3 linked regions of the Drosophila melanogaster genome follow. The protein of the gene in region 3 interacts with the protein of the main gene of each other region in a pairwise test. Each region holds a gene or a part of one and is shown on either strand. Other genes may lie near its edges. The genes, in order: Tpc1, CG15080 and Als2.

What was found.
Region 1: the proteins of Als2 (region 3) and Tpc1 interact in a two-hybrid assay, tested with the Drosophila melanogaster proteins (one large-scale study listed by BioGRID).
Region 2: the proteins of Als2 (region 3) and CG15080 interact in a two-hybrid assay, tested with the Drosophila melanogaster proteins (one large-scale study listed by BioGRID).

What each region holds. Positions count from the first base shown.
Region 1 is NT_033777.3:10,880,039-10,890,926, reverse strand, and holds the start of Tpc1 (thiamine pyrophosphate carrier protein 1), read left to right. Parts: upstream 1-8,738; 5' UTR 8,739-9,364; intron 9,365-9,820; 5' UTR 9,821-9,922; coding exon 9,923-10,888. Other genes in the region: CG6621 (uncharacterized protein), read left to right, coding at 82-1,012; Ak3 (adenylate kinase 3), read left to right, coding at 2,617-3,267; leash, read right to left, coding at 4,840-4,954; CG14696 (uncharacterized protein), read left to right, coding at 6,093-6,207, 7,013-7,380, 7,440-7,971, 8,035-8,393.
Region 2 is NT_033778.4:18,776,980-18,787,867, forward strand, and holds the start of CG15080 (uncharacterized protein), read left to right. Parts: upstream 1-6,319; 5' UTR 6,320-6,699; intron 6,700-10,175; 5' UTR 10,176-10,233; intron 10,234-10,888.
Region 3 is NT_037436.4:21,675,202-21,686,089, forward strand, and holds the start of Als2 (amyotrophic lateral sclerosis 2), read right to left. Parts: upstream 4,555-10,888; 5' UTR 4,298-4,554; coding exon 1,969-4,297; intron 1,850-1,968; coding exon 1,231-1,849; intron 1,168-1,230; coding exon 31-1,167; intron 1-30. Other genes in the region: CG11248 (uncharacterized protein), read left to right, coding at 5,106-7,232, 7,294-7,422, 7,479-7,715; Sfp78E (seminal fluid protein 78E), read right to left, coding at 8,127-8,401, 8,464-8,641. UniProt on the Drosophila melanogaster protein: Has guanine nucleotide exchange factor (GEF) activity towards Rab5. Promotes the exchange of GDP to GTP, converting inactive GDP-bound Rab5 into its active GTP-bound form.

The sequences.
Region 1 (10,888 bases), on a different chromosome or scaffold from region 3:
GATGAACAATGCGGTTTTGTTGTCAATGCTGTTGAATATTTTACAATACGCAGTTAATGCCACAGTTTGTGTTTCTTTTAGGCTCATGAACAGCACCAGGAGCGATGAGGAACGCAAGGCCAAGATCAAGAGCTATCTAAAAGAAGGAGGAAAAGAGTCACCACCTCCCCCGCCACCAATGAAAAAAACAGCAGTCTCATCTAGAAAGTCAAGCTTTGACAATGTGGGACCCAGCACATCGCGTCATGCGGCCTCCGTTGTTGGCTTTGGAGGCGCCCAGCCACCACCAGCGCCCAAGTTTCTGGGGCAAAAGAAACATCCGGAGCCGGCACCCAAGCTCTCCTTTCAGATTAAGAAACGACCGCTGCAGATGGACAAGCTGGGAATGCTGCGTCTAGCAGCGCCAGCGGAGCCACTCAAGGGAGGACGGAGCAGCAGCTCCCGCAGCCGGAGTAGGAGTAGAAGCCGCTCGCGAAGTCGCTCACGTAATCGTCGGCTTGGAAGGAGCACGCGTTCGTCGCTCAGGAGCCGGCGTTCTGGCTCGAGGTCCAGATCGATTAGCCGATCACGGTCGCGTCGCCGACGTACCTACTCCCGTTCGCGCAGCCCCTCGCCACGCAGTTACGGAAATCGCTTTGTGATTGGACGCTACCGTAATCGCCGAACTCGGCGTTCGCGCTCCTTTCATCGTCGGCGTTCTCCATCGCCCATTTTGAAACGCCGATCGCCTTCACCATTTGTGCCCCGTCGCACACCATCGCCGGCATCCCGCTATCGACGCAGCCGATCCCGCAGTCGCTCCCGCTCACGCAGTCGGAGTCCTCGACGCTTTCAGTCTCGCTACATGCCGAGGGATCGTGGCTCCGTGAATCGAAGCAGGTACTCCTGGCACAATCCCCATAAACGCAGTGTATCACGCACCGTGGAGCCAAATGGCAAAGATGAAAGGGCAGCTACTCCGCCGAAAAAGGGTGTTGCTGATGATAGATCTGGACGAGAAGAAAGGGCGTAAACAGGGCCTCGCCTACGAGTCTTAAGTTTCCTTTTAGCTGATAGGGTACATTTGATTTGATATTCAAATTTGTAAAACGCTCCCTTTGGGAATTGTTCATTGGTCACTAAATAAAGAAGCTTGCGAAGCGAATTTATTACAAACTATAACAATCAATCGATTATTGGTTCTTTTCAGACAACACGTAGCGTAAAGTAAAATCAGGAAATTGTCGGTATTTAAAATTTGAATATAGCGTACAAACATATAAAAATGTAAGTATATGAATCGCATATCTATGCAAAATTAATCAATGTTAGGATAAGTACTTCAAAACTAAACACAATAGTTTGTCATTTTTGTATTTCAGATATCAGATTCTGATTTTGCACATGGAATGAACTGAAAGTCCAACGCGTAGTGAGAGTGTAAGAGAGCCCCAATAGAGAGCGCAATATCCCGGAGAGTGTATCCCCCGCCGTGCCCCTTATCAACACTTCACGCTGCACTTTCGCAGTGAGAGACGGAGAGTAAGAGAAAAAGTGGTTAAAGAGGGGACGAACACCCGGCTGTTAGTGTTAGTTGGGGCTCCTAAGAGAGAGCTAAAGCGAGAGAGACAAGTCTGGAAGCTAAACAACAAGCACCAAGCAAACACGAAAGATAACGACTTGTTTCATTTGATATTCGCCAGCCGGCAGAAGCGGAACAAACAAAAAAAAAGAAAAAACAAACTTCGGACGCCGCAGCTGCGGACACGAAATTAGAATACTTACGGCGACAAGTTATCGCACAAATTAGTACGCGAACGAGAATTGCTACCGAGATACGTCGGCGGACACCCGAAATTTTTCCCAAAAACCAAGGTGCCGTGTAAGTGTGAAAGGAGGTGGTTTTTACCAGCTGCTAATTTATATAACTATGAAAGCCAGTAAAAGTGCAAGGCCGCGTGCAGTGCAGAAATGCAGAATTGCAGAAAAACAACACAACACGCGCGACATTAACACTAAACACGTACATATATACATGTCTACATATATTCTCTATAATTTTCCGTGCGGACTTTGGACGATAAGCGGGGCGACAACAATATCTGGTTATACATGAAGACAAAGAACATAAGGCTGAAAAGCCACGCTTGTCTCTTCTGTTTGTTGTTTTTGCTGGTGGCGCTCTTTTAAGTGTTTGCGCTACACTTGTTACCAAGCGGCATGTTGGTTCACGAGCACAAAAGCTGACAAGTGATTTAGTGTTATATTTACCCACTCTTTATTGCCGTGTTCGCTCACAAATTGAATGGAATCATTGGTTGGATTCCCGTGATTAGTCACACATAAAACACATAAGCTTTAGCGAAAACTATGACCTTCATCACCTCTGTATCAAACAATTGTGGCGTGCTTGATAGTCTTATCGCCCATAAAAGTAGTCGAGTATGGTCAACTGAAATAATTTTGGTTTTACTGCCAAGATTATATGTTATTGACCCTAAATCAAAATATAAAAACAGATCCTATATTAAATAGATAAACCGAATTTTTTTATCATATCATATTAAATTTAACCATGTATCAATTCAATTTTTTGTCTTGCAGCTCAAGGAGAGGTTGAAGAACTAGAGCTTAGACATGTTTACGAAAATCTTTCGCGCTGTGATAATCGGAGCCCCCGGCTCGGGCAAAGGAACTATTTCGGAATTGATCTGCAAGAACCATGGATGTGTGCACATCTCCACGGGGGACATTCTGCGCCAGAACATCATAAAAAACACAGAACTTGGAAAAAAGGCCAAGCAGTACATTGCTGAAGGTAAACTGGTGCCCGACGCGATTGTGACCAAGACGATGCTGGCCCGGATAACCGAGGTAGGCAACAGGTCGTACATCCTAGACGGATTCCCGCGCAATATAGCCCAGGCCGAGGCACTGGCTGCACGCGAGCAAATCGATGCCGTGATCACGCTGGACGTTCCACATAGTGTGATTATCGACCGGGTCAAGAATCGCTGGATCCATGCGCCCTCCGGCAGGGTGTACAATATTGGCTTCAAGAATCCCAAAGTGCCTGGCAAAGATGATGTGACGGGGGAGCCGCTGATGCAACGCGAAGATGATAAACCCCATGTGGTGGCCAAGCGACTGGAGCTCTACGATGAGGTGATGAGCCCGGTAATAGCCTGGTACGAAAAGAAGGGTCTGGTTGCCACTTTCAAGGGAAAACAGACAAAGGAGATCTGGCCGATGATGGAGCTTTTCCTCAACGACCGCATAAATGCGTAATGGAGCAACCCCGAAATTACATCCAATGTGCACAAACTAACGATAAACTGCTGTGTTCAATTAAGTGCATAATATATTTAGATATATATAAATGAATACGTATGAAATATGTATGTTTGTGGGCCGGTTAAGAGGAACAGGCGTATAATTAATGTAATTGCGAAGCCTTACACAGTAGCAGCTGTCATGTATTCCTTCTTCCACAGATATCATTCCCCTCATGAGCATGTCTTGCAGCTCCCCCCTTTTTTGTATAAACATATTTTTGTACTCGTATTCTGTGCTCTGATAATAAATCGCGTTTTTTATATATATAAATATATATATATATGCGCTGATAACAGCCGACTTTGACTTTTGGGCAGTTAACGGACAGCCGTCGATCTATTTTTAGGCAATGTCCACAAACCCTTGGCCCCATGCGTGAAGCCAACACTTTTAGCTTCACCTCATGACACCCAAATGCCCTTCATTTTATCGCGTAGCGCATTAATTTCTAAAAAATATGGGATAGTGTGGCGCTCCCGTTTAGTCTCGCGCTCTCTTACTCACACATGCACGGACCAGCTGCTGTTCTCACGCACACCTGTATAGTGGCAAATCACAACAGAGAGGCGCTTGTACAGTCAAGGGCGCCCAATTATGTCAGATTTAAAATTCTTTAAGTCATTTATAAAAAATTCAATAAACCACTTATTGTTTTAAAGGTATACTTCATAATAAAATGGAGATAGCTGTTTGCCTTTTAAACACTATACTTCGGAATATACCATTACTGGGAATCTTATTTCTGGATAATTAAAAAAAAAAACCTATATAAACCCCTTTGTGGCCACCACTGTGCTGCGAGCGCCCTCTCACCTCTCTCTCATTTAGACCCGACTTGCGCTTGGCCCAATATTACGGCTTTTTCGGCACGCCAACTGAGTGTGCCTCTCTTCGCACATGCCCCCACCGTCTACACTCCCCTCTCGCGCGATGCGTTTGGGTTGGCATTTCCTGAAACAAATGCCAGTACTCAAGAATCGTGAAGAACGAAAAGAAATTCAATTGCAATTGCAACGGGCGGCAATTGAAAGCTTATCGATGAATGAAAGGCGAGCGCCGAAGGCAATTAGAGGAATTTGCGAGCAAGAATCTCGAAATTGCGGTGAAGCGGAGGGGGAGGAAGCCCCATAAAATGGCCGCTGTGCTTTGTTAACTGATGGAGTTCTTTGTTTATGCGAATGGGGCCGCAACGAAAGTCCAGCTGACCATCGGGCGGACAATGGATTGCAAACCGCTGACAAAACAGAAAAAAGCACATTTCTATTTGTGGAGTACATGATGGGTTGTGCAGAAAACCATCTTTGTTAATATTAGATTACTATATCTAAGCTAAATCTTTTCGGTAATACGATCTATATGTACACATGTAAACAATACCCAGAATCATAAACTAAGAGCCTAACGTTAAATGTAGGGTTTTGAAACACTTTCTCTGCGTGTCTACAGCTGAGTCATGGATGATGCAAGCCGAGCTTTGAGATGTGCATTCCAGGAAGCGGCAAGTTATGCTCGACTGGCACTTACCGCGTATTTTGGTGCGCTTGTTGACGTTCATCCAGATCTCGCCGCGAATTATGTCGCCCGCAAAGTAAACCCGATCCGCGCTGTCCAGCGTGATTCGCAGCCGCTCGCTTTCCATTCCGCTGGCGTTGATGGTGATGACTCCTCCGGTTTGGCCACTTTCCTCACGCACTTATCCAAAAATAATTTCGTCATCAAAATGCCGCCACATACAAACGTACATGGATGCACTGCAGCACCACGGCCCGCACCACCCTAAAGTATATGCAGAATAGTAGCACCACCACACGCACTCGCCTCACGATTTACGATTTGATGTTACTACACACACCGCGCGGTGAGTGGGAGCTTTTTCGCGCTGATTGTGGCCAGTTCTTGGGGAATCTCGATATCCATCAATTCGCAATGGCCCACAAGTGTTGGTCGCACACCCCGGGCTAATTTAATTCGATTGCTGTCGTCCGCTGGCGGGTTGAATAATTAAATTTCTTATAAATTTACGAGATCCGTGAGTTACGCTTTTTTGTTGTAGCTGCAGCTCTCTTTCGATAACCGTGAGAGCGGCGGTCCGATAGCACGAACAGCTGTTGCGCGGTGCTGCCACCGGGCGCCTGGCCAGCTGAAGCGGTTAATTCGCAGACTTTTTAATCGGTATTTTCAAATGTGTCTAATTTAAAGTTTAAGTTCTAAACAGCGTTTCTTAAATGCACTGTTTTCAGTTGTAATGCAAGAGTTCAGAAATGCTTGGTAGTAATGGTCTTTTTTTATGGTTTGATGTTTGAAAAGAGAAGAAGAAACTCTCTGTTTGAATATCGCCAATAATTTAAGTTGATATATTTCACTACGAATAATAATTACCAAATATTTTACTGTATAGATAACAAAACGCTCAGCTTAGATGTCAGCGATGATTGAAGCATACATACATATTTTATTAAGATTAAACTTTAGTTGGCTTAGCAGCATAATGCTCCATATAGTATTTCGTGTGCTTCCCCGTTCTGTCCTTCGCTTCTTCTTCTTGTAACCTCTCGCGCACAAAAGTTTGCTTCTCGGTTCTTCGGTCTCACCAAAGACTTTTGAGAATTCAGTATTAAGCCAGAGCTGCTCGCGTTCGGAGCTTGCGAGCTGAGTCGCCGGAACCCTCGAATACATCGAATCCCTACCTCTTCCACCAACTATCAATAAAACAAACAAAGGAACTTGATAGCGCGATACCACCCGACACCGTCGCCAAGGAGCCAATTCTGGACAGGATGAGCAGCAAGGTGAACTTCGTCTTCGACAGCAATCCTTTGGGGCTCTATCAAGCCGGTCAGCTTATCTCCGGCACGGCGGAACTGATTACGGAGCGCCCCAAGACGATTCGATGTAAGTGACACCGACATGCGGAAGAAGACGCACTACATACATATGTATTCTAATGGACTCGAAACCATGACGTCATCCCCCTCCATCACCATTCAAATTCTGAATCCCATACCGTTTTACCATCCACTAATAAATAAATATCCACTTAATATTGTTGGTGCTTTGTTATCCGCTGGTTTAATGTTATTGTTGCCGGTAGATATGCTTGAAAGATGTGTATTGTATATACAAATGTACATATATGTATGTATACATAAAGTTTATATACAACACACATGTGGCCGCTTGGCTGGCTGGCGGATATCTGATAGCGGCGTAAAAACTAGTTTTGTTTTGAAATTGCGTACGCTGTTTGTATTATTAGATATTTGATTCAGTTACTGGTCAGCCCGTTCGTGCCAATACCTTTAAATTGTAGTGTATAGGTAGCATTTTGGGTCAATTAGGCGTAATTCATGCAGATATACATATATATATAAATTTATACAAATCCCATTAGCAAGCTAAGTGGACCCTAGCCATCGGTTCAAATTCAAATAATCAAATATTTCCTAGGGTATCAAATAGTCGAGCCTTAGCAGCGCTTTAATTTGATGGTGAACTTTATTAGGTAGCATTCGTTTTTTTTATGCTTCTGATTAAATTATTGTTAGTTCATTAACAAAGACAGTTGTTTGTAGCTGAGCAATTTTCCAATACAATTCTACATCCGAAACACACAAAAGGTCCAAGGTCAATGGCAATTAAACTAAATGCATAATTGAATTACATACCCGGCAGTACAGACAAATTAATCCAATTGCAGCGATCTTTATAACCATAAATGGATACGGCGAGACGCGTTGGCAGGAAAGCGAGGAGCGAGTGGGAGAGGATGGGAAGACGACCAAGTCCCTGGTGACCCACACCACCACCGAGGTCTACTACAGCACTGACCAGCCGGTTTACGGCCAGGCCGGTGGCTCGCAGCTGGAGTTGCCCACCGGCAAGTACGTCTTTCCCTTCCGGGCTACCATTCCGCCCAATGCACCCACCTCATTCAATGGTGCTCATGGTCAGATTAAGCACGAGGTTACCCTAACCATCGATCGCGCGGTTCGCTACAACAACACATTTAAGCAGTGCTTCACGGTGATCCTGCCACATGATCTTAATAGGCGGCTCGAGTATAAGGTATGTAGTCTTGGTTGTTCTTCCAAACTGAATAACCTTATGAAGCGCACTTCCCTTAGGAACCCCTCCAACGCTTGGAGTCGAAGAGCTTCTGGTGGGGCTCCATTTTCGGTGCCCACAAGCCGATGATCATGGACGTGAGCACCTCTTATTCTGCCTACGTCCCCGGCCAGAAGATTCATTTCCATCTGGTGTTGGACAACCAGTCGGATGTCCAATGTATGGACGTGAAGGTGCGTCTGATCAAGAACGTCTCATATAGAGCCAACTCATCGGGCGCAAAGGAGCAGTTGAAGGTAACCGAATCTCGGGTGGCGGACAAGCACTGCGGTGAGGTGCTGAAGCACAACAAGGCCAAGTTCGATGAGTTCCTCACGGTGCCGCCAACTACTCCATCCACGCAAAGCGAAAAGGATCCCATTCGAGTTAGCTACACATTGCGATTCATCGCCAAGACCTTCAAGCTGCACGGTGGTGGCGACTTGGTCATGGACTTTCCAATAACCATTGGCACAGTGCCGCTGCTGGGAAGTGCTGATGACAAGGGGCCCGGGGCGGAGAAGTCCCAGCCCAGTGGTGCCTCTCATCCAGGTGGGTTTTGCACTAAAGAAAGCATAATCGAAAGTGTTATTAATCGACGTTTCTCCGGCTTAGGCTCACCCAACTTTCAGGAGGACGTCAGCGATGAGCAATTCGAGTCCAACACCTTTAAGCCAAGATATCCCGTCTATCCATTTGATGGGAAGCCTGGAACCAATGGCTCAAACGGGGCAGCTAATTTTCCCAGTCTTTATCCCAAGGCAGAGGAGGCGCATCCTGCTACGCCTGTGAAATTCACACCAAATCCTGTGTCGCCAGCCGCACAAAAATCGCCACCATATACGACCAACACACCTGTTGCTTCTCCGCCAGGCGGTAATTTTGAGGTGCTTGGATTCAGTATACCACCAGACTATAAACCCACGCCTAGTGCTCCAGCCGCCTCTTCCACTGGCGGCATTGGGTGGAAATAGGGACCATAACTTAACCATTTTGTATTCTACACCTTAAGGCATTTTTAAATATACAAGAAAGCCCGCATAAGTGGCAACGCTGTGCATGTGACAGCTATATTAATATCGATAGTTAGTATCATTTTAATCCTAAATGGCCTTTTATTAACTCGAGTATAAACATAGTGATCTGGTTTCAGGAATTATGCTTACTATTAAAAAATATTTATGTTCCCAATTAAGAAAACCCTAAAACTGAATTTTAGCTTCTAGCTATTTTCTTACTATTGTTGTCAACCACGATAGCCGATAGTTGCCATCGCTGTTCGCTAAAAGCTCATCGCCAGCGGCTCGAACAGCTGATTCCGTGCACTTGGCGACGTAATTTAGTTTGTTTTGTTGTTGTTGCGTAGAGGTTTGAAGCAGCGCGTCTTGAATTCGGAAAACCAGTTTGTGGAAGTGGGAAGCGGCCAACTTGGACAGCGGCAGCAGGGGATTGACACAACTGCAACGGCATCTCAACGGCGGCGCTATTACAAGTCTGGCGAAAAGAAAGTTTTGACGCAATCCACGGGCCGCCGCCTGTAATGAAGAAGCGTCGGCGCCGCAGTCACTGCTGCACTCTGCCCGCGAACGGACGCATCTGCTCCAGGTGAGCTCAGATTGTAGTGCGCTGCTCTGGACATTCAGCAACATCATCATCATCACCATCGAGCGTGTTGCCAATGCCTTTGTCTCTTTATCTGAGCAGCAGCATCGGAATTTTGGGAACTGGACAACGGTCGCCGAGACATCGAACAACAAAAGCGGAAAAAAGTGAAATCGCTGATAAACCCGAATACCAACCGAGCTATTGTCAATCAATGAACGGCCGTTTGAACCTGGAGTCAACTTGGGAGCTCTGCGAATTGGCGGGCAATTGGCCATAACCGACCGAGATAATAGTGAAGTAATCGCAGAGACATACGCACGCTCCGTGGAGCATGATACTTGTAAGTCTCATCCTCAGATGAATTCCACTCCTACTATTTCCCAATTCCTGTCTACGCACTTGTACACAACAATTTGTCCATCGACTTTGATGAATGTGTGTAAACAAGTCGAAGTTTGCGCCCTGCCGCACCTCTAAAACGTTTTGAATGAAAGCTACAGGCAAGCTTTGCTAAGTCGGATTTTCGAAAACTCCATCTTTGATACCAGTAAAACCTAGCATATTTCATTTTTATCAAGAAACAATCTTAAGCTTTCTTTTTAACAGCATCTACCTTGAATTTCACAAGAGTCAAGTAAATTACAAGTAACCTTCAAAACAAATTCTTTATGATAATATATAAGCTATACCTATTAGATCCAGCCTCATAGAAGTTGCTAAGTCCGAGTTAATAGTTGCATCTACATAGTTCCGACTGTAATAACGTCTCCACCTGTCTGCGTTTCTTTATTTTCAGAAATGCCATTGAAAAGTTGGCAGTCGCAGCAATAAAAGTGAAATCCGCACGAGCAAACATACGCACACGAAAAGCAAAACCAAAGGTAGCTCCGACGCAGACATGGCGGTAACCACAGGCTCCACCAGTGAGGCGACCACAACCACAACTCCCGTTCCGCGACGCAAGCACAGTACGCGGGAGCAGCTGCATCAAATGCTGGCCGGTGGACTTTCGGCGGCCATTACGCGCTCCACCTGCCAGCCGCTGGACGTGCTAAAGATCCGCTTCCAGCTGCAGGTGGAGCCGCTGGGCAAGAACGCCGCCAAGGAGGGACCAGGAGCCCTTACCTCCAAATACACATCCATCGGACAGGCGGTGAAAACCATATACCGCGAGGAGGGAATGTTGGCCTTCTGGAAGGGACACAATCCTGCCCAAGTGCTGAGCATAATGTACGGCATTTGTCAGTTCTGGACGTACGAGCAGCTCAGCCTGATGGCCAAACAGACCAGCTATCTGGCGGATCATCAGCATCTATCGAACTTCCTGTGCGGCGCTGCGGCCGGAGGAGCAGCAGTGATCATATCCACGCCGCTGGACGTCATCCGCACTCGTCTGATTGCCCAGGACACCAGCAAGGGATACAGGAATGCAACAAGGGCTGTGTCGGCGATTGTCCGCCAGGAGGGACCTCGCGGCATGTACCGCGGTCTGTCCTCCGCCCTGCTGCAAATAACGCCGCTGATGGGCACCAACTTTATGGCTTACCGCCTGTTCAGCGACTGGGCGTGTGCCTTCTTGGAGGTGAGCGATCGCAGCCAATTGCCCACGTGGACGCTGCTGGGATTGGGCGCCTCCTCGGGCATGCTATCCAAGACGATCGTGTATCCCTTCGATTTGATCAAAAAGCGACTGCAAATCCAGGGCTTCGAGTCGAATCGCCAGACCTTCGGACAGACACTGCAGTGCCACGGAGTCTGGGACTGTTTGCGGCTGACCGTGCGCCAAGAGGGCGTTAGGGGCTTGTACAAGGGCGTGGCCCCCACACTCCTTAAGTCAAGCATGACGACGGCCCTGTACTTCAGC
Region 2 (10,888 bases), on a different chromosome or scaffold from region 3:
TGCTGTTGGAAGGTCGCTTATTTTCAGCTCATTCCAGCGGCCGCTCGAGGGTTGTCGGCTACACTAATTAATATTAATTAATTAATACATTGAATTAATATAGTAAAACCATTTCCAAACAAATCTTTATATCTATTAATTATTTATTTATTTATTTGGAAAAGTTCGATATGTTAAACAATAAGTAATAATATTAACTTTTTATATATTTTAAAAATCTTTAAAAAACTTAAATATATATCAATATATATAATATAATAATATAATAAAATATAATATATAATTCTTCTGAAGTCGCGACAACTCTGCTAGATCAAAACAAGTTCTCAACAAGTAGCTCTGCTAGCTATCAACCATATGGTTAGCACATTATACATATATTTTATCTTGAGTTCCAGTGACGCCGGCAAAAGCTTTTCAGCTCTGGTCTTTCCAATGCTTTTATTTGATTTATGTTATATGTGAGCGACACGTGCCGCTGGTTTCGCTTATCAATCTGGGCAAAACTTTCGATTTTATTTACTTTCATTGACCTTCGGCGTATGTGGGGGCTTGTGTGTGTGTTTGACGGGGGGTGTATAGAAATTTGTGGGTGTGTCGGTTTGACGTTGAGTGCCCAGACCAGAGGCTCCAAAACTGTAAGCTTTTACGCTGGTTGTGCAGTTTCAATTCAAGTGAAAATTAAAGTAAAGCATCTAGAACGATTGAATTTATTAAACTTAAAAAACTAAAACATAATTTATCCCTTCGAAGCAATCTTCATTCGATGCCTCTTTCCTCAACTGAATGAATGAATGAAGGGCAACATGCGAATGGCTTCAATTGCGTGAAATATCGTGCATAACTAAATTCACACGAGCAATTTCCAAACTGATGTTTCATTTTACACTCACTTCAAGGGCTTATTTCGCTTCACAAACAGAGATACCAGTGATACCTTAATCTACCATAATTTTATAGCCTAATAACTGAAAAGACCTTAGACCTTGAAAGACCCAACTTAATGGGTAATCATTTTAAGCTGCATTGTAAAAGGTATGACCATTGTAAAAATTAGTTAAAACAAAATTAATTAATTAGTGCTTGTATTTATTCGGTGAACAGGGAAGTACATATACATTTTGTTGTACAATTTGTAAGTGTATCTGAGGATCGTTATTGTATACCCAAGACTTTATAATGTTTTTATTTTTGCAACTTTCTTGCGCTAGGGCTTTGCCAATACTTGATCCCACAATAAACAATTTGATGTTTCGCGATTTTGTTTTCTTGTGCTATTTTTATCACTGCTTTCCGAACCTCAATTGGCGCAGATAGTTTTTTTTTTCGCCCAAATTGTACAATGGTCATAAGGTTTCGATGCTGTTGCTGAAGTTGTTGTTGTTGTTTTTTTTTTAATGTTGGTGCTCGCATAAAAATCGGCATGCATGAAATTGCAACTGCTCGAGCTGCGTTTCGCAAAATCTCGTCCAATTTACGGCCCGCCTGTCGTGGCTCCGATCTTACGCAATCCCACGGACCTCGTTGTCAGCCAACTGAGTTATGCTTATCAAAAGAAAACAGAAACAACTGAAATAAAGTATGTATATTGGCTATATTTTCGACATAACCACTTCTATGAATGATTTTCAGAAATATTATTTGAATAAGGGTGGCAGTAAATAGCCATATCGCAGATGTAACTATGTATAAATGTGTATTGGATATCACCGTTCTCTGTGTTCGCACTGATGATGATGATTTTTTGGTGATTTATCTATGTCAGCGCGTCTGCAGCATCCGTCGATCGCCTAAGTGCATTTCAATTTGGGGAGTGGAGCGGATCGAGATCGCGACAATGGCGCAAAAATCACATCGAATGGGGGACATCGGCTGCCCAGCAGCGCTCGCTTATATAATCGCTTGTCAATTGTCAAAATAGCGGCAAGACCCTTATCTAACGCCATAAAGTGCAATTCAGCGAATGATTAACACGAATATGGGCCGAAACAACAGCAAATACAGGTGAGAGCGCGTCTCTTTGAAACAATTTACAATTTACAAGTAAAAGTGAAAAAAAAATAATATTAAAAAGCCAAAGGCGCCAAAGAAGCCACAAGCGAAGTGAAGCATTAAAGCGCAAAACTACAAGCTTCAAGTGGACCATTTGGGCTTGGCTTTGGAAAATGTTCATGTTCATGGCATTTGTACACACTCTTATGCGTATATCGTACATCAAGTATACGCAGCGGTGTGCCAAGCTCATTAGGCAGACATTATAACATTTCTTCGCTGCGGTCGCACACCAACGTTTGCCGCTACTAATTTCCATGTCAAACATAGGCAGACAGCGAAATTTCACTCATCGTCAACAGCGCGCACCCACAAATCACTAATCACAAAACACAGAAAACAGAAAAGAGCGTGCACTTGAATTGAATCACATTGCGATTGAATTTTATTCGCCCGCAAACATTGCGTTATAAGCAATCATTACAGTGGAGGAGCATAGGAATGTCCTACAGGCGGGAAAAAAATATAATAGATTTTATGTATGTATATATATTTAACGATACAACTTTACATAATTGATTGCTGGGGGTATGTAAGTCCTCATCATTAATTCCCTAATCATAACTTTAAAATAACATTTTGATTTATAGATTTCAAAGTGTTTCTATTCTCCCTCGTGTCTTAAGTTTTCTTATTCATGAACATTCATTTTGTATCTTGTATCTGCGAATCGGACTGTATCTCGCCTGGATCTGGTTTCTTGACCCGTCTTCAGCCGGCTGCACGCAATTTGATGAATGCGACAGGTCGCAACAATCTGCATGCCACCGCGTAGATCCGTGAGTCAGCGAGGAACACATTACCATGTAATTTGCCAGCCAACGGTTGTGACATCGTGAGCGACTACTGACATTTTTCATTCAGCCTGTCTTCGATTTCGTTTCCGGCCAGCACGTAATTGAAATTACATTAAGCCAGAAATTTTGGCAGTGAAATTGCGTTCGATAATCACTTTCATGGGATTTAATTGTTTCCCTGTGCTAGACGTCACTGCTGGACTTTCGCTCTGCTCTGCTCTCGATCGAATGTATGTACGTTCGGACCTACATTAACATGCCAACTGAAGAGACCACTCCAAAACGATATGAAAATGAAAAACTAACTGAAAACACACACACTCACACTCACACACGCCCAATGCGGAAAATTGAAATGCAGTTGGAGTCACTGCAGCAAGTTTGGGAAAGGAAAGTGAAATTATCATCCCCCCGCAGCCACAGCCACAATCCAACTCAACTCAATTCGATTCAATTCATTTTCGATTTCATTCGGCTTGAGTTTTTGAATCGTTTCTAAGGTTCGCGCTTTTTAATACGCCGCATGCATAATTATTATGTGTTCGCATATGTATCTCCGCACTTAGTTACCAATTGCCGACACCCTGGCCTACAGTCTATAGTTTAGTGAAATTGAAAATCATTTTTGAAAGTGGTCAAATTATTCGCTACCCGACAAAACACACATTCCATGCGACCGTTTAGAGCGAATGTGTTTTTCTGTTTGTCGTAATTTTTCATCGCGATGTTGTTTGTGCTTGGGTTATATTTTCCATCTTTTTTGCTTTTTTGGTCACCGTATTACAAAATTTTAATTGCAGTTGGCAGAGTGAACCAAAAAAAAAACAACAATCCAGTTGAGGAAAGAGAAATGCGGAGAATGAATGCTCTTCGAATTGCTTGGGAGCATATGAACTCTGAAATGTATAAAAAAGATTTATTATCCTCAAGAAAAACGGTAATTAATTTATGATCGACAAGCGCAACACTTGAAAATGCACATTACCAATTAAAAGAGACCGTCTAAAAACAAGGAAAACTAAACCCGTACATAATGAGCTGATTAAAACCCCATTGTTCGGACCAATTTCCCGCTGTTTTCACCCACTGATACACTTCTCCCTCCTGATTTGTATCCCCCAATCTCGACCAGCGGCGACATCAACATAAAAACCAACAGCTCGAGCGGCAGATAAATGTTTGGCTAACCCAAATCCACACACAAGGAAGGAAACTAGCGATGCCTCTCGGCTCGAGAGGCTCTCCGCTGGCAATCCAGTTTTCCAGATTTCGACCACATTTTGACCAGCGCACTGCTGCAGTGCATTGCAGCGGGAGCAGGAAGCGTTTTATGGCCAAAAGCACCAAATAGCCAGCATTTTGGGCATCACCCGAGGGGCAGAGCAGCGGCAAAAAGTTGTCTTACTTTCGTGAGCCTAAATGCATTTGGCTCTCGATGCGTCGACGCATCGACAATCCAGCTCTCTCCTTTCGATTGCATAAGTGATATTTATGTCTTCTTGTCAGCGTTGCATCAGCATCAGTTGCGAATCACAAGCGACGGTTTATCTGCACCTGGCCCAAAAGATTCTACGTCTAATTGGTCTGAATTATGCCATAAAAACATGTCCAATTAAGTTGATCTATTTTATGTCGGAGTGTGGGAAATATTCGTGTCGAATTTTATGCAAATCTCGTTACTCTTTTCCGCATACGTCGCGGAAAATGCGCAAAGAGCTTGGGAAAAGCCATTCATAAACAGGGGCCTGAAGGTCGCGATCTGTTACCTTTGCCATTTGGCAGCGCCACCTTGGGCGTGTGAGCCATTTCAGTGAGACACCTGTGAAAAGGTCAACGCTAATTGCCGTCCCCCAACCATTGGCTGCCAATTGAATTCGATTGAATTTGATTCTCTATCTGCGAGGCAGGTGAAAGTGCTTTGTTCTAGAAACAGAGTTGCAAGCCAACTAAATAACATTCAGCGGAAGTTCAAGACGCGAGTCGCGGTTGAATGATCTCCGAACGCCAAGAGATCCCGTCACATAACTTAGGCCATGAGGTGGAAACCTTCCTCGTACGTCATCAGTCCGCACATAACTCACGCCCACCTGAGGCGGCAGGTGAGGCACACGGACAGACAGGTGGGCAGGCGTTATGACAAGTTGACTGATTGGATTTGCGGCGACGATGTTGCTGCTCCTGTCAATGCACTCATCGCCCGTCGCAATTGCCGCTGGAAAATTGAAATTGAAAAAAAAATGCGATTGAAAAGCGTCCGAGCATCTCGTTTGGGTTACCCAATGCATAATGGATAATGGCGGACGCTGAACGATATGCTAATTAACTTGATTTCCACGATCCATAAACGTCTCACTTAGACAATTGTTTGCTTAACGGAAATTGTGCGGCTGCCGGCATGAGAATATTTTAATTGCCCCAAAAGAAGTTGAAAAAGACCTCTTTTTAAGGCCAATTCTAGCAGACCAAAGAAATATTTGGCAACAAGCTGAGCACAAAAATGTATTTTAAACACCAAAATATTATCTGGAAAATATTATAAAAAGATTTAAATATTTATTTCTACCTGCGCTACTTGATTGCAAACATTTCAACCACATATTTAATCCCAATTTCGCACTTTTTGTTATTATAGGTTTTATAAAGTTTGTAACCAATTTGTAACAAAAGAAATGCGGCAAAGGCCAGCGAAGAAAAAATGGTTTCTACGCGTTTTAATTGCTAAATGTCAATCGGTTTATAGGTTTCCTAACAAAACAAACAAAAATACGAGGAAACGCGTACGAGAGAAGAAAAAAAAACCAAAACAAACAATTCAATTAAACTCATAATGGAATTTGTGTAGCAAGAAAACGACCTTGGCTGCAGAGCAAAGCCTAAAAAGCCAATTAAAAGCTAGATGCACGGCTCGAATGCCACATGGCACTGAGTCAGAATTATGGAATTGTTGTTATGTCTGGCCATATAGCCGCACATATACACATATATCACATATATCAGCGAGGGGTGTAGCACGATTCATAAGACCCCCACACAGTCGGATCGATTTTCCCAGCAAATGTGGTAAAAACTTGTCGCCAGCAAAGATTGCAAAACTGGAACAGCATCGCCGCAACTAACGCTAAAACAAGTTAGCATTTATGGCCGACTTGATTTGCATTTAGTGCATTCTTGTGGACACTCCCCCTTGGCAAAACTCTATCCCCATCCCCGTTTTGTTAATTTCAATTAACCACAACAAATCATTGGAGGATCATTTTTAGCTAGGAGCTATACCGCTCTGTTTGACCAAGTCTTTTGTTGGCCCAAAAGCTGTTAAAGCCGCTTTAGTTGCGCCGTTAACGCTGACTGCGACTGCGCTGCCTACTGATCTGCTAACTGCTCGGCCAGCGTCGACTTCGACGGAGGCAGTTGGATGAAAACCACGAGCGAACCACTCTTACTTACTTTGGCCCGCGACGCTTTTCATTTCTTCAGTCTGTTAACGGCACGCCAACGATGCAGACGCGTCTAAAAACCAGCTCCGGCTAACTGTTAACGCAAGATAGTAATAACTTGATTTGTAAGTGTAACACTCATACGCATCGAGTATACGCACAGTGGTACCAACGACATTTGATTTTGCATCTTTTGCCGAAAGTGCGTGAGCTTCCTGACGTCTCAAGTGGATAAAGTCAAAGTGAATTTCAAGAAATCGAAAATATAATTAATATACAAAAATAAAAGTAAAACGCTTGAATTGCTGCTAATTTGGCGAGTTGGGCAAGTTAGGATCTTAATTAAATTAAGCCAAGTGAAAGAGAAACAACAGCTGCCGTTCAGGAAGAAGAAGAAGAAGCAATAGAGGAGAGTGGTAAGTGGGGTTTTTATTTTTTATTTATTTTATTTTTTTTTTTTTTTTGCCAAAAAAGGCGAATAGAAATTTCAGCTCTCCATTCAACTAACCACACACTCAACGCATTCGACTGTCTTGGCAATTTTGCTGTTTATTTTTTCATGCTCTAATTATTTGGAAATTTCATTTTGTTTTTGCCCACCGACACTCGTTAACTGGCATGCAATTTGTTTGCCCAAAGACTTATGGACCATACATCTAACCAAAACAACCGTCCATCCTCTAGAGAGTCAAGTTGAGTCAAGCTTTATGGGCAGACTTCCTCGTTAAAAGATAAGGTGGCCAGACCCCTGACCAAAAGAAAAGAAACTGGTCCATCAGTATTCTGTGGGTTCGTTTTGGGTTTTTCATCTACATCTCTAAGTCTATCTCCATTGCCACTTCATTAACCCAATTTTCACCTGGAGAAATTTTATGTTTCGTACAAGAAAAATCTTGTTTATCAGGCCAATTTGCATACAGACCCCACTTCCGAGGGCCAGACATTTCTCTTCCCTAATCTTCGATGTGGCATCTGATCTTTAACGGAACTAATGTGTACACTTATTCGTTTGTTTGTCATTTTAACATGAGGGCAAACAGAAGAGGGAAATCATAAATTACGCCGTAGCGTCTTATTCGTTTTATATATGTATTTCTTTATTTATATTTATGCGAACTTTGTTTTTTTTTTTATGTGCGAGCGGACAGCGTTTTCGAAATTAAATACTTTCTAATTACAATAAACGCAGGCGATGGCCGCCGGCCGGCCAATTGCCTGTCGCACGTCCAGCAAAGTCCATATCGTAGCCTTTGGCAACGGGCTGAAATCACGTAGCCGCCGCATCGGCCAATGCCAGCCGATATAAAAGAGGGATGGGTTGGCAGCGGAGTGGTGAGGGGGGAAGTGGCGAAACAAAACTCGCGAAAGTGTCAAGAAAATATAATACTGCTCAGACTCACTTTTTCTTTATTGTCATGTCTTAATGTGGCGCCTGATGTGTTTATTTGCCACTAGCCTCCTCCGCCGCCAATTCATATTCCTACCCCTCCCTCACCTTCCTCCGATGAAAGTGAAACGTGCGAATGACTTTGCGTAGCTGCAGAAGCTTCCATCACTCGTCACTTAGCACGTGCCCAGCGATCCTACCCGTGTGGTCTTCGTCTTTCACGGCTTTCAATTACTCAACCGCATAATGTTCAATTTGTCAAGCGTTGAGCCCGGATTACGACTTTCTCAGCGGGCCAAACAAAAGACTTAAGACACAAACTTGCTTCATTAGTTGGCTTTGTTCGATGGAATGCGTTGCAGATCCTAATGCGCACAAGTTTTGGTGTTGATTACTCACGAATTGAGAAATCAATGCAACCATACCTTTGTTTATATTACAACTTAAATTATCCCAGATGATTTAGCCATACCAAAGAGAATTTCAATTTCAAAGATCAATATCGAATATGCCCAGCGGTCTTTCAAAACCATAATTATCTCGCACTAGTGACACGCACTGAATTCTAAATGTGAGTAATTGCAATGCATTCAGCAATATCAGATTCAAAGTGCATTTAAGCGGAGGTAAAAACTAAAAAATCAATTCAAATGGCTTCCAGGCCGGGCATTTATTGCTGGTTCGCTGGAACTAAATCGTGATTTGCAGTTGCATGTACGGCCTCCGTAAGACCCCCTGATCCTCCTTCGGCACCCCTGGAATACCCACACAGTTGATTAGTCAGCACCCGGCTGGTAGAGCAAGGCAACCATTTGGGGCTTTTTGCTCCGTTTTGTCTCTGTGTTTTCCTTCTAGACCGACAAGTTGAAGTATCTTGGCCTACTGAATTTTTTCTCACACTCCGTGTCTTGGTCACGGATGTGGATTGATTGCTAATGTTCATCTGGGCACATATATATCTGTATATATGTATATATATCTATCTGCGGCAGGCGGTTTATGTGGATACCCTCGCCAAGTTGCCGAGTTGCACAAGTCTGGTTTGGTCTGGGCCAGAATGAGGCCCACACTCGAGACGTGGCCAACAAGTACGGGTACTTGTGGCTATACATTTGCCGAGCCACTCTTGCTTTCTTCAGCTGCTCCATTTGGCGGCTGCTTTGTTTTGTCAGCGCTTGCTTTATGGTTTTTCATATATATAGAGTAGCTACTAGCAGCTACCTTAAGTATTGCTCTGTTGCAATTGTCACATTGTTTTGGGACACTTTTCTGCGGCTCAGTGGCGACGACGACTGTGGCAATAGTTTTGTAATTAGCTTGGCCCATCATTTGCGCAATTCGATTTGCGATGTCCCAGGTGATAAGTGATATTTAAGGCACTAATTTCGCTTGTATCCGGTTATCCGGCTTTTATTACGAGTTGCGCAACCACAGCGCCCCCGCATACCAAAATGTCGAGGGAGAAATACTTTCGCTTTCAAATGCTCGAGCATAAATTCTTGGGATTACGCAAGCTAAATGCTTGCGGCATGTTTTGGTTTGCTGAGCAGGTGCCGCCAATACCAAACCAAAACCAAAAAGCCACCTCCACCAGCTAAACAGCCACTTACCTCATTTGGAAAGCAGCGAGAAATGAAAGTTTTTGTTTTTTCATTTTTCTGCGTTGCGTGAAATTTACATTTCGTTTAATAATTTCAAACATTTCTTCGAGGTCGCTGTGGCATAAAATTTGAGGAATTAGTCGAACAAGAAATCAGCGTTTTTCCGTCCGTTTTCCTTCTGGTATCGAGTGGCTCTTTCCGGCAGGCCTGGCTAGCAACGCCCCCTAGCAATAGCAGCCATCAGACAGAAAAGTGCATTTCATTGTCGCTTTCGTTTCGGATTTGTATTTCTCTGCATTTTCTGTTTGGCGACGAGTTCATTGGCTTTGCATAATTTATGCGTTCGGCGGCCCAGCAGCAAAAACAATATGCATGCAGTATATGGTGGCCATCAATCCTAGACTTATCGTTAGCCAGTCACGCTAATTGGCCATAACTGTAACTGAAAGATCAGCGATTTCAGCACCCGAGCGATACAATCAGTCAATATTTAATGTGCGAGTTGTGCAAGTTTTTTGGCGGACAGTTGGCACAGTTTCAATTGATTTGCCAATAGTGATTCACATGGGTCACGCACATTCTTGGTTTTTTGCGCTCTAGTAAACCAGCTGCAGATCCGCAGGCGTTTCCAAAAAAAAAAAAAAATAGAAGAAAAATCCCCCTTAAAGTAGGTGTGTTTTTTTGCGTTTTATGTTTGGCCAACTAAGCGTGGCCGACACTGCAGCCTGCAGATGCAATTAAATCCAGATAGATAGCTCTAGAAACCGAGATACAAACGTGTCTGCCTGCTGGTGGCATTGCCACACCGAAAATAACACATCTTGTAATCCCAAGCATTTGCATCCCTTTTAATTACTCGTCCGCCTGCCAACTAATGATATATTGTTTCGTTTTTTCTTTGCAGTTACCTCGACGATCTTTGGGCCAAGTTAGTTAGCTGTCGACTGCTGCCGCTGTTTATGGTAAGTCTACAATGGAGCCGGAGTGACCTTGTCGCCTCCCCCGCGGATTAGATCGTGTGGTGTGGTGTATCAGGGTGTGGACACAGGTAATCCAATTAAATCACACCCAAATGATCAGCAAAGCGATGAAACAATGTCAATGCCAGGAGGAGGCATACACCATAATCCCTTCATGTTCTGCAGAGCAGATCTAAGCGGCTTAACTCTAAAGCTTGTTTACATCCGGCTCTGTGGCTTTTGGCCACTTACCAAAACGATTAATCCGAGAGACAACCACAGACACGCCCCCGTCAGCGAGGAAAGTCCGCTTCGATTCCAAAATGGATGTGTGTGTGTGTGCTCCGAAATGAAAGGGAAATTTTAAATTTCGAGTTACCTGGAGCCCAGACATTTCGCCTTTTCCGAGGGCATTGTCACATTTCACTTTCGATGATCACTGTAGATTTCAAGTGCAGTCCGCCTCTTTGGAAATAACAAAAACAAAAAAAAAACCCACTGAGGTGTGACGTTGTTTGCTTTGTTGAACCTTTTGATAACTGGTTTTTTCGTAGCGGCGATACGAAATATTGACCGCAAGTGAGTCTAATTTTTATTATTTTCCTGCCATCCCGCTCTGGCTGGCTGTACCCATTTAATAGCTGGCCGCCGAATGAAC
Region 3 (10,888 bases):
AGATAAAATAGCGTAGACATTTTAGAATACCTTTCATGACCCATAAGTTCAACAAGCTCTTGGTCCTTTAGTTTCTCGGCAAGATTCAGATTCTGCCGATACATTTCGTCCTTTCGACTGTACTTATTTGCATACAGCACAAACAAAGTGGAGTAGATGCCCTCTGATAGCACGAGTGGGTATAATAGGGTAATATGCGATATGACTTCCCTGCTGCCCTCCATCTGGCAAAGTTCCTCGGGCAACGCTGGAAACATCTTCCGCACAAAGCGGTAAATGCGACGCGATATGGACTCCCACTCTCTCATGGCTTGCTTGGCCAAAATCGGGGTGGGTTTAACTTTCCAATAGCCATATGAGTAGTGGAAACAGTTGGCAATGCGCTCATTCAGCACGTACAGCGGGTGATGGCGATCCTTAAAAGCCTGCTCCAGGTACAAACGTATGGAGGTCACATCTTGCTCGGTAAGCACCAAAGCCATTCCAAAACTGGGTACCTGGTCCAGCACTGCACTCGTTGTAGACGTTGTTGATGTTATCGAGCAATCGATGTTGTTCATGTGCTTCGAAATGCTGTTATTGTTGTTGTGACTTAGTTTCGAAAAGCTTTCATTGAACGTGCTGGATTCATCGCCGTTGACAGTGCTGTTCATGAGGCTTTGGTCCAATTGGAAACTAGCCAGACTACTGTTGTCCAAGTCACGAGATGTATTGTGGCCCATAGAGATTAAGCTATCCGCTCTCTGCAATCCGCCTGGCTTGCTGTTCAGTGCCTCTTGGGATTGGATTCGTCGCGGTGGAAATCCCAAGAAGTCCAGCGCCGATGCAGCCTCCGTTTGCAGCTTGCTCAGTGCGCTGGTGGTGGTGCGGGCCTTTGCCAGTGGGGATGATGTTTTTTGCGGCAGCGGCAGACTGAGCAGGATGTTGTTAAAGTAGTTGCCAGGCTTTGTTCCTTCCCGAGCCCGCTGTTTGCTCATGTACACCGCTATGCAGTTCCAGATTTGGGCCGTGCTCAAAGTGGGTTTCGAGGATTTTCTGAGGGTGCCAGCTGATTGATTGCCTCCAGAGCTGCTAGTGCTTGCCGTGCAATTGGCAAGGTCCGATTCAAAGTTGTTAAACAATGATCGCCACTTGCGATTGTGATCTACCACTTGGCGCCCAAGGGAGCTGCAGTAAAGCCATTATATTATTTTTTCATTGAAGTACGTTTGTGGGTTCTTATTGACTCACCTGGGGTACTTAGGAAAGCGCCGATTTAGTACCAGTTCACCGGCCTGTATCCGCACCGTGTCCCAAGTACCACTAAGCTGTCCAAACATTTTGTTCCCAATAAGCTCGCAAGTGTCGTCGAACTCCCCGGTCCCCATGGCACCGCTTCCTCCACAGGCATCTCCACTGGGCATGTAGTATTCCCCCCGTCCGTTTGGGCCGAGGAGCGTGAGTTCGCCCTCGTAGTAATAGTCGTTCTCGAAGACAGCAACCCCACTGCCTGTGAGATCGTCTCCGGAGAAGCTGCCCTCGAAGTAGTCGCCGCGGTTGGTGATGCAGCTGCCGATTCCAGATCGCTTGTTATCCGCAAACATGCCCATGTACTTGTCCCCGCTAACCAGATCCTCTATCACTCCGTATCCACTGCGTGCATTGGCCTGGTACTCGCCCACGTAGATGTATCGGTTGTTCCGCATCACTCCATGGCCGTGAAACAGGCCCTCGCAAAAATTTCCTTCGTAGACTTCGCTCTCGGGGGAATCCTTACAGTGCATTTCGTAAACACCGTGGCCGTGGAACCGGCCACCTTTAAAGTTACCTACATACAGCCCCGTTGTCGGAATCACCATTTTGCCGAAACCTTAGGAATAACGTTCTTTTAATGCTTTTTTCTATCTCTAAACTATCGTTTTGGATGATCATCGATAATTTACATAGGAGCTATATAACTAAATAACACCCAGGTCAATTATAACTCACCTTCAATGATCCCGTGTTGCAGCTCTCCGCAGTATACACTTCCGTCTGGATACTCAAGGTAGCAATTTCCGTGGAGAACGCCCTTTCTCCAGGTACCGCACGCTTTCACCCTGGAGAACTTTGGGTGTTCCCGACTAAACTCGTACCCCGTGGAGCGATAGCTGGGCACAGGACTTCCGAGAGGTTTGCCCAAGGACGCTATAATGCTCGATTGCAACTGGTCCAGCCACACCTTGCGCATCTCCTGCGAACGGGTGCTTACCAGAAAGGATTTTTCCGGCGTGGTCAAGCGCAGGCTGTCGCCTTCGGTCCACACCCACAGGGTAGTTAAGGGATACGAGTACAGCGAGTTGCCGCTTACCTGGCAGAGGAAGTCCGAAAAGAGAATGAAACTGTTGCTTGACCTGCTGATACCAGAAGTGACTAGTTTCAATGGAACCAAAGCCGACGTCAAAATAACCCTTCTGTGACGTCCTCTGAACTGCACAATCCTCGGGTTTCTATCGTTGCTGCTCCAGAAATCCTTGGTATTCACGGCGAGCTCCTGGCTGATGCAGCTGTGCCGCGCGAACTCCGACCAGGCCACCCTATGCTCTCCGTACTCAGATTGCGTCCTCACCAGCAGCTCCATAAACTGGACAAACAGCTGGTAGATACTGAAGGGTTGCTGGAACAACCGAGTGACGTAGCTCTCCTCGTTGAGCTCGGCCAGCGGGCTGCTGAGTCCAGTAATGGCGACCACCGCCTCTCCAAATCCATTGACCGAGAACACATCGCAATAGGCCTTTGTGTAGCCGTCAAACAGATCGATGTACTCTTTGTAATGACAGATAAACAACAGGTCGGCAGGCTGCACAAAGTCCGCTCGGTAGAATCCCTCTAGCGAATGCAAAGTGGCCACTAGCAGGCACAGTATTCTCTCCCAGTTGATCAGCAAGGGACCGAGGGCGCTGAGCGGCTCCAGTGCCGACTGTCTTTGCCAGATTTCGAGTGTTTGGACTGCCTGTCGATGCTTGAGAAGCAGTTGTAACTGTGACTGCAGATGACTCAGATAGTAGTGATACTGCCGCTGGAACTGCCTTTGGTTTTGAAGTGTGTATCCGCCAGAACACATAAGCAAACGTAGTTGTCTGGGCCACGCTGCTCCCAACTGAAGCTGGAGAAGCGTCTGCGCGTATGTGCTGGACTGCTGCAGATGTCGCATTGGAGGCGCAGGTTGAAGGGAATGTATTTGACCCGAGGCATTGAGCAGTAGTGTATGGTAGTCGCCGCAAGTCGCCTCAAGCGCCGAGTTTTGTTCTATGGGTAGTGCTGCCGTGTTTTCCGTAATTGTGATCTCCATGGGCGAGCTGACATCTTCACCCAACTGAGAGTGGTTGTTCAGGCCCCAGTGGTAGAGCCTTCCGTCCAGAGTGCGGGCCACCGTGTGCTCTAATCCAGCTGCAATGCTGCACACGCCCATGCTGTCTAGTTTCTGCAAGCGCATCACATTGGCCCTCCGGATATGATCCCCACTGCCCAGGAGACCATTATTGGAGGCTCCGAATGTGAAAAGTTGGGTGTGGAGCAGAGCGTATCCTTGGTGAAGAAGGTGCCTTGTGTTAGCCGCAACGCTGCGCTCCGAGTGGCCACTGCTTATGGATTTTACAGAGGCCCGTTCATCCTCGGGTTCTTCCTTCGCACTGGCCACCGACAGCTGGAGTGCATCGTCGGCCAGGTTGTAGGGAGCTACTAACATCACAAAGTGCTCGTTTCCGGCTGCTAAGTCCAACAGTTCCTTGCCCTCTTCGTAAAGGCGCATGTGCCGAGGCTGTTGTTCTGCCTTGAAGACTTCGCCGCAGCTGCCCATGACATAGGTCTCCCCACTAGCGCCGACGAAGACAACGCCCTGGGCGGAGCAGCAAACCCGTCGGATGCGTACGCCCTCAGCATGCAATTCGAGAGGGTCGAAACCGAGGGTTTGCCACGCATGTGGATGACCCACATCCCGGCCAGATCCCGTGGCTTGGCGCTGCACAGAGCCATTGGTGAGGACTACGAATAGTTCCTGACTGCCGGAGCAGAAGTCCATATCCACAACATCGGTACGCAGGAGTTGAAGATCCATGTGTTCGCGGTTGGCCTGCAGCTTGGCGGAGTAGAGGGCGTGGTCAGTGGTCAGAAGGAGCAGTTCCCCGCCGGCATTGCTGCAAATCCGGGATGCGGGAAACCGCTGCAGGGGCGGCAATCCGCGCCAGTGAAGCTGTAGCTCCCTGCCTTCATGATAGATGGTGAAGGACTCCCGCTCCTCCTGACCCCCAAGTGCCGAGTCATCCGCTGCACTGGCCATGATGTGCAAATTTTTGTTGGGGTTTTGGACAGGGCCAAAGCTTTGTAACACGACGCAATTGCTCGATTTGTCTGCAGGTCGTTCTCACATCGTGCACGTGCTCCGGTCCACGCTAGGCACTACTGGCACCAACGAACATCATATAACTTGATTCGGAATGCAACTCTAGCTGCCACGATAAAATAAATTCTGTTTTCACTTGTTCTTAACTGGCTAATAAGAATTCATGTTTTTGTGATGGTTTTTTGGATTAGTGTGACCAGCGCTATCGAGTCCCAATGAGAATTTATTAAGTAAGGGTGTTCGGGTAAAAGTGACGTTCTAAAATTGGGCTTATCACTATTTATTTGGTCCATGCAAATTGTTGTTTTATAACCAATTTTGAAAACACACATAATACCTTATACGTAAACTCAATATTGTAGTTAGCTAGAACTCTTATATAAATTTAAATAACTCCTTAGTTGCATTCGCCATAATCATGGAACCAGTCAACACAAAAAAGTTATTTTGGTATTTTTTTGCGATACATCAATTTGTTTTAATATGGTCATATTGTTTTTGCCATCAGCTGTTCGACTCAAAAGTTTTTGCATGTTTTGTTTATTTCGCTTAAAATGTAGTTTTATCGTTAATTAGGAAAAGTTACCCACGGTAAAAAAAAACAACCGTCAACAATTGTTCAGAAACATCAACTAGTACGACTCAGTGGACACCTCCGTGTGGTACTGCTGGTTTGCATACGCCCACAAAAGTTGTTTTAAGCCACAAACTCACCCTCCTAAAATAAAATTTTTTCAGCTCGGTTATGGATTTGGACTGCGAGGGCGCTACAGCTTTGGCTGACGACTCAGGGCACTTTAGCTGCACTAGCGATGATGGAGTAGGAGATCCTGCTCAGAAACCGGCGCCGCAGCCTGAACCGGACCAATCGATTTTTCTGGTGCGGCAAGAGCTGCTTCGGACGCGCAGTGAGGTGCAAAGGCTCTTAAAATCGGAGCAGTGGTACAAGCAGGAGCTTAAGTCCCAGAAGCACAGCAGGCTACAGACGCTAGAACGATTGTACGCACAGGAACGGAAGTATTTGATGGAGAACCAGAAGCTGCAGCAAGAATCGATCCGCCTGCACACACAATGCGCCACTCTGGAGAAGCAGCAGGAGCAGGGCTCACCATTTTCCCCTGGCTCATCGCCGTTTAAAGCAGACTCGGAGTCACACGACTCCTCTTTTGAGGCCAAACAGCAGGAGGCGCGCCTACGGGATCAGCGTCAGTTGATCGACGTGCTCCGAAGGCAAAAGAAGATGCTTCTGGACGACATCCAGAGGATCAGTCTGGAACACGATGAAAAACTTTCGCAGTTGCAGCAAACTGTTGTCGGCATGGAGCTGGAGAGCAAGCACGTGACTGGAAAATGCAAGCAACTACTTGACCTTAAAAGTCAAATGGAGCACCAGCTAGAGCTAAGAAGCACTACCCTACGCAGTGTCACCGCGGAGCGTGATCAGCTGCGCCAAGTCATTGCTGAGCTTAACGAGACGCTGCAAACGCAGGAGCATCTGTTAGCGCTAAAGGAACAGGAGTTCCTGGATTTGAAACAGTACTACCAACAAAAGCTGAAACGGGAGAGTAGCATGGAAATTATGCACTCTTATAGCATGAAATTTCACGAAGAGATCAACAGAAAAACGAGTGAAATTGCCAGCCTTAAGAATTCTCTTAACGAGCTTCAGGCCGAGCTGATGCTGATGTCTCACATGAAAGAGCAATGCGAGGAACAGCAGCGTCAGCTTGAGCAACTGGAGTTCGCATTGCAGGCACAACTTTTGGAGGAGACTCAACTTCGGCAAAGCAATGCTCTAAAACTGGAGCAGGTGGAAAATTTAACAATTTCTTTGGCTTCGTTACAACTAGATAAGGAAGGCTTAAAAGAAAATTTAGGTGAGGCGCAAAAGACCTTGAAAAATCTACAGCAGAAGGTGGACATTCTTCAAAAACAGTATGCCGAAATGTGCTCCTTGTGTCAAAAGACTAAACAGCAATTGGAACTGGAGAAAATCGAGATTGCCAAAATGAAGCAAAACGGTTCCTTAAAGGAAAGTGAGCTAATGGAGAAACTCAAAGATTATGCAGCGCAGTGTGATGAGCTGAGAAAAGCGTTGGCCGAAGCAGAGTCCCGTATCGATGTCCAAATCAAAAAGACAGAGGGCTGGCAAGTGCAGTTGAAACACAACCAAGCGACCCAAACGGACCTCGAAGATCCGATTTTAGTTCAACGCATTGAGACTTTGGAACAACAACTAGCGGATGTCAGGAGCCAAAAATTGCACACAGTTTCGCTGCTCCAAATACTGCTTCAACAGCAAGAAGCTAAAATCAAGAGCACTAACGAAATGGAAGCAGACTGGCAACAACTGTTAGATGCTCTGCAAGCTACTCAAAGCTTGGAGCAGGAAATGCGATCAGAACTACAGCATAAGACGGTTGAATTGGAGCACCTGAATGAATTGTTCGCTGGACAAAATGATGAACTGCAAAAGCTCCAGAAATTGAGCCAAGCGCAGGACGAGGAAAATCGACTAGAGTTACAGCTTTTGAAGAAAACATTCCAAGAGAATCTGAAGATAAACTCCGCTGCGTCGATTAACATGCAAAGGCTGCAAGGCCAGGTAAAGTCTTTGCTAGATGAGAAGGAGGAAATTGCGCGAGAAGAACGCAAAGCAGTAGAGTGTTTGCGATCTCTTGGTCACGTTCTTGAGATGGAAACAGGAAGGAGGCTACCACATATAAAAAGCTGGCCTCAGTTGGCCAAAATTCTTCGAAAGGAACTGCGAAATGGGAGGGTTAACAATCGAAAGGCTGAAGAGCTTCCTGGGCTTAAAATGAAGCTGGCGGAGATCAGCGGAAGGCATCAGCAAGCTTTGTCAAAAATTAAGGTATGTTATGTCTTACTCCCTTAAAGTAACTCTTTGTAACACAATTAATTGCTTTTTACAGTGTCTGGAGCACACTTTGGTAATGGAGCGAGCGCGGTTTGAGGCCTCGGACTCGGGCAAATCGACGGCTAGCAACACGCCCCAGGAACCCGCCCATGAAGTGGCTAATCTTATTGATGACTACAAGAAGGTAAGTATGTTCCCCTCCGATTGGCTTCTCTTGACATTTCCTTAATTGATTTACAGCTCGTTCAGCAAACCGCCAATGAAACATGTCGCCCTCGCAACAGCTTCATATTCGATCTGATTGAGCGGAGTCAGCGATGCCAACCGAATTTGTGCCAATTAGGCGAGGGTATTTCCGCCTGCCAGTCTGATATGAAGGAGCTAAGCAGGATTATTATTGCTGGTCGGGAACGGAGGAGAGTGGAGCCCATGCCCTCCCTCATGGATGAACTTCGAGCGGTGGCCGAGCACTCTTAGACGAGCATAATTTAGTTTTCAGTCAAATACTTATAAATTTCCTATTTAGTACCTATTTGTTTAGTCTCAAATTTTGTTTTCCTAAAAGGGGCAATTAGTGAATTGAGTTTTTGTGCCTAGTCTCATAGGCCTAATTTTCAATCAGATCCAACTTAGTTCAATTTATATAAATATTTATTTTGTTGTCTTTTGTGTTCGTTATCTTTATTTATGTGTAACGCATTCTGTTAGTTTCACCAATTCTATATACATACTAATTGCCAAACTATACCAATATTTTTTCTACAAGATATATAAACCATTGTTGGTTGCCACAAAAATGTGTAATTATTTTTATAGTCCATAACATTTAAAGTTAAAAACCTTGTGTAGATAAAACATATTTGTGTGAAGTCGATCAGTGCACATCATTTACTTTCGTGGGCACCTAGGGATTTTAGTACCATCGTTCTCCGAAATAACTTCCTTTTTGTCATATATCGTATTTCCGTTTTCATCCACGTCCAGAACTTCCTGTATTACCCCTTTTCGAGTTCGTGTTATCCCACACATAGGCTTATCGTTTTTATCCATGCACAAAATCAGGAGCTCAGTGTGCTGTAGATCAGAGGGCTTTAGGACCTTTGTTACCTTACAAGATGCCGTAAACTTTATGGGGCACGTCACCCCGGCACATTGCCAACCATCTGGGGGGAAATAATTATTAACATAGATGTTCCAATACTACTCGTATCCATGTAATCCATACACTTAGTCTTCTTTACCGTCGCTCGATTTAAGTCCTCATTTAGGTGCCGATCTCCGTCTGCCTTAAAATAAATGTACGATCCATAATACTCCATATACGGATTTACCCTTACCACGGTGTGGTCAGCAAAAGATAAAATGGCCAGCACTACCAATATTAAGGAGATAAAGATATTCATAGCTCAACCTTGCTGATGCAGTTTTCCTCTATGACTGATTGATTCAAACAAGTCTGCTGATGTATTGGATCAGCCTAATGTGTAATGTGTGTGTTCCACAGAACAAAGATACACCCCTGCAACTGAGTTCAGAATTTAATAACACTATAGTTTATATACGTTTCCGGACGTCTTACATTGGGAATTGTTATTCCTGTATTGTATTCACAATCAGTCACTTAGAAAGTCGCCTTGGAAGCGGAAACATGTCTTCGTCAGGGTGACTTAAGCTGTGGCAAATTGATTCTCCAATCAGAGACGGTGGCATTCTTTTCCATTCCGTTCGAAATGCATTAGGCGTAGGTACCCGACAACACCCTTGGCATTGTCAACGCCTGGAAAGGAATCCGGAGGGACCCGCACGAGGAGGGCGATCCACTTGGGTATTGATAAATGCGTTGAAAACTAAGCGACCGCCCAGTGGATTACCACGGCCCCACGCCAGGCTGCCCGATTCCCGATCCTCGACACCCCTCCCGCTGCCAGCTCGCGATGAGGAGCAATCGACAACAATCGCTGGTCAAATTCAATTGGCGCAATTTTTCATCTGTGGCTCCCAGGGATCCGATCTGGCGGATCCTTTTGGCTCTGCCTGCTGCCGTCTATTGTTGCCCTGGGCCTTGGCAATTGTTCTCGGCTCTGGATCTCTGGAGCTATGGGGCCATGGAGCCACGGGGCCATGGGCTATGGAGGTATATGGCTGCGGAGCCCTTGGGCTCAAGGTTGTTTATTTTGAAAAATCACCATCACCCGATCGTGGCTTGTGCCGACGGCTGGGGATTTAATTCTGTTCTGGACATTTATAAATTGCATTCAATTTATACACAACACGAAAGCGTGATTTTTACATTTTTACAATCTAGCGAATAATAGATCAGCGTCGTATTATTGCGGACTCCTTGCTCCAATGCTCTTTGGGGCCATACCTTCTTTGGGTCTCCAGCCCGTGCCGTGGACTGGTAGTTGATTGAAAGTAGTGTTGCTCAGGCAACAACTAAACCAATAAAATACGCAAATATCTATAATATTATTATTTATATATTCCGTTGAAATTGAAATTATCCTATCTTAATACTGTAAATATATATTTTTTATAATTTCTTAACGTCAACAGCAATAATATATAATAATATATATAATATAATGTAGTCGTAAACAATTACTTATTCTGTTCAGTAATGATACATTGTTGAATGCTTTTTAATGGCAATAGCCTTAAATTCGGCGAAAAGTTGAATAACTACGATTTCATTTCGTTTTTCATTAAAAATGTTGGAAATGTAAAAATTTCAGATATCTCTTAAAATTGTCTGTTTACCCGCATTGACACCCGTTCGAGGTCTATTATTATTGGAGTCCAAGTTCCCAGCCAGGTCCAGCAAGGTGGGGACATCGTGTCGTCCGTCCGAGGGTATCATTTTATTCGATGAGAGTGCTTTTCGCTGTACTTCTCTGGGACTCTTTGATTTTTTGATTTCGGTTCTGTGCATTGAGCAGGTCGCTCATTAAAGCGGAGTAGTAGGCGGGTGAGGAGTGGTTGAGCTGAGGGAGCGGTGCTGGCCAAACAAAAGGAATAAACATTTAATTCTCACCAAAGCGATTGATGCTGTCGAGGGATTGAGAAGCGATGTCGAGCACCGTCCCATGGCCTATCTGCCGGGCAAACGATCCTTCTGCTCCGGCAGGGCATCAAATCTGGTAGGCCAGTCAGTCCTAGTGCCAAATTGCAAATTCAACTTGTTAACCTTGAAAGCCGATCGGACGGATCAGCCGGCGGACAGACAGTCGAGGAGCCTGACCGCAGATCGCGCACAGTATGAGGCATTTAGTCAGACGTCGTCGTTGTTGCTGTAGTTGTTCTTGCTGCTGATACCACTGATGCCGCAGTTGTTGTGGTTCGTCGACGATCCCTCGTTTGTCTAGCTGATGCACTGGGGGAAATCTGGAGAGTGTAGTGCTCACCAGACCAAAGTTTGTCTCTGCTGAACACAGATGATTCAAGTCATCAGCAACATCTTAGCAAGTATAGCCTTCTATTATTATTATAGTTTTTAATAACGATCTATATAGAAAAACATTTTTGGGTCTATTTTCGAATGCAACTATTTTAAAGCCGAATTATGAATAAAAAGTGCTTCTTTACGTAATATTCTCTCGACTTTTGGACAACCTTGATTGAAATGGTGTATCACTCAAATTCTTCTCAGT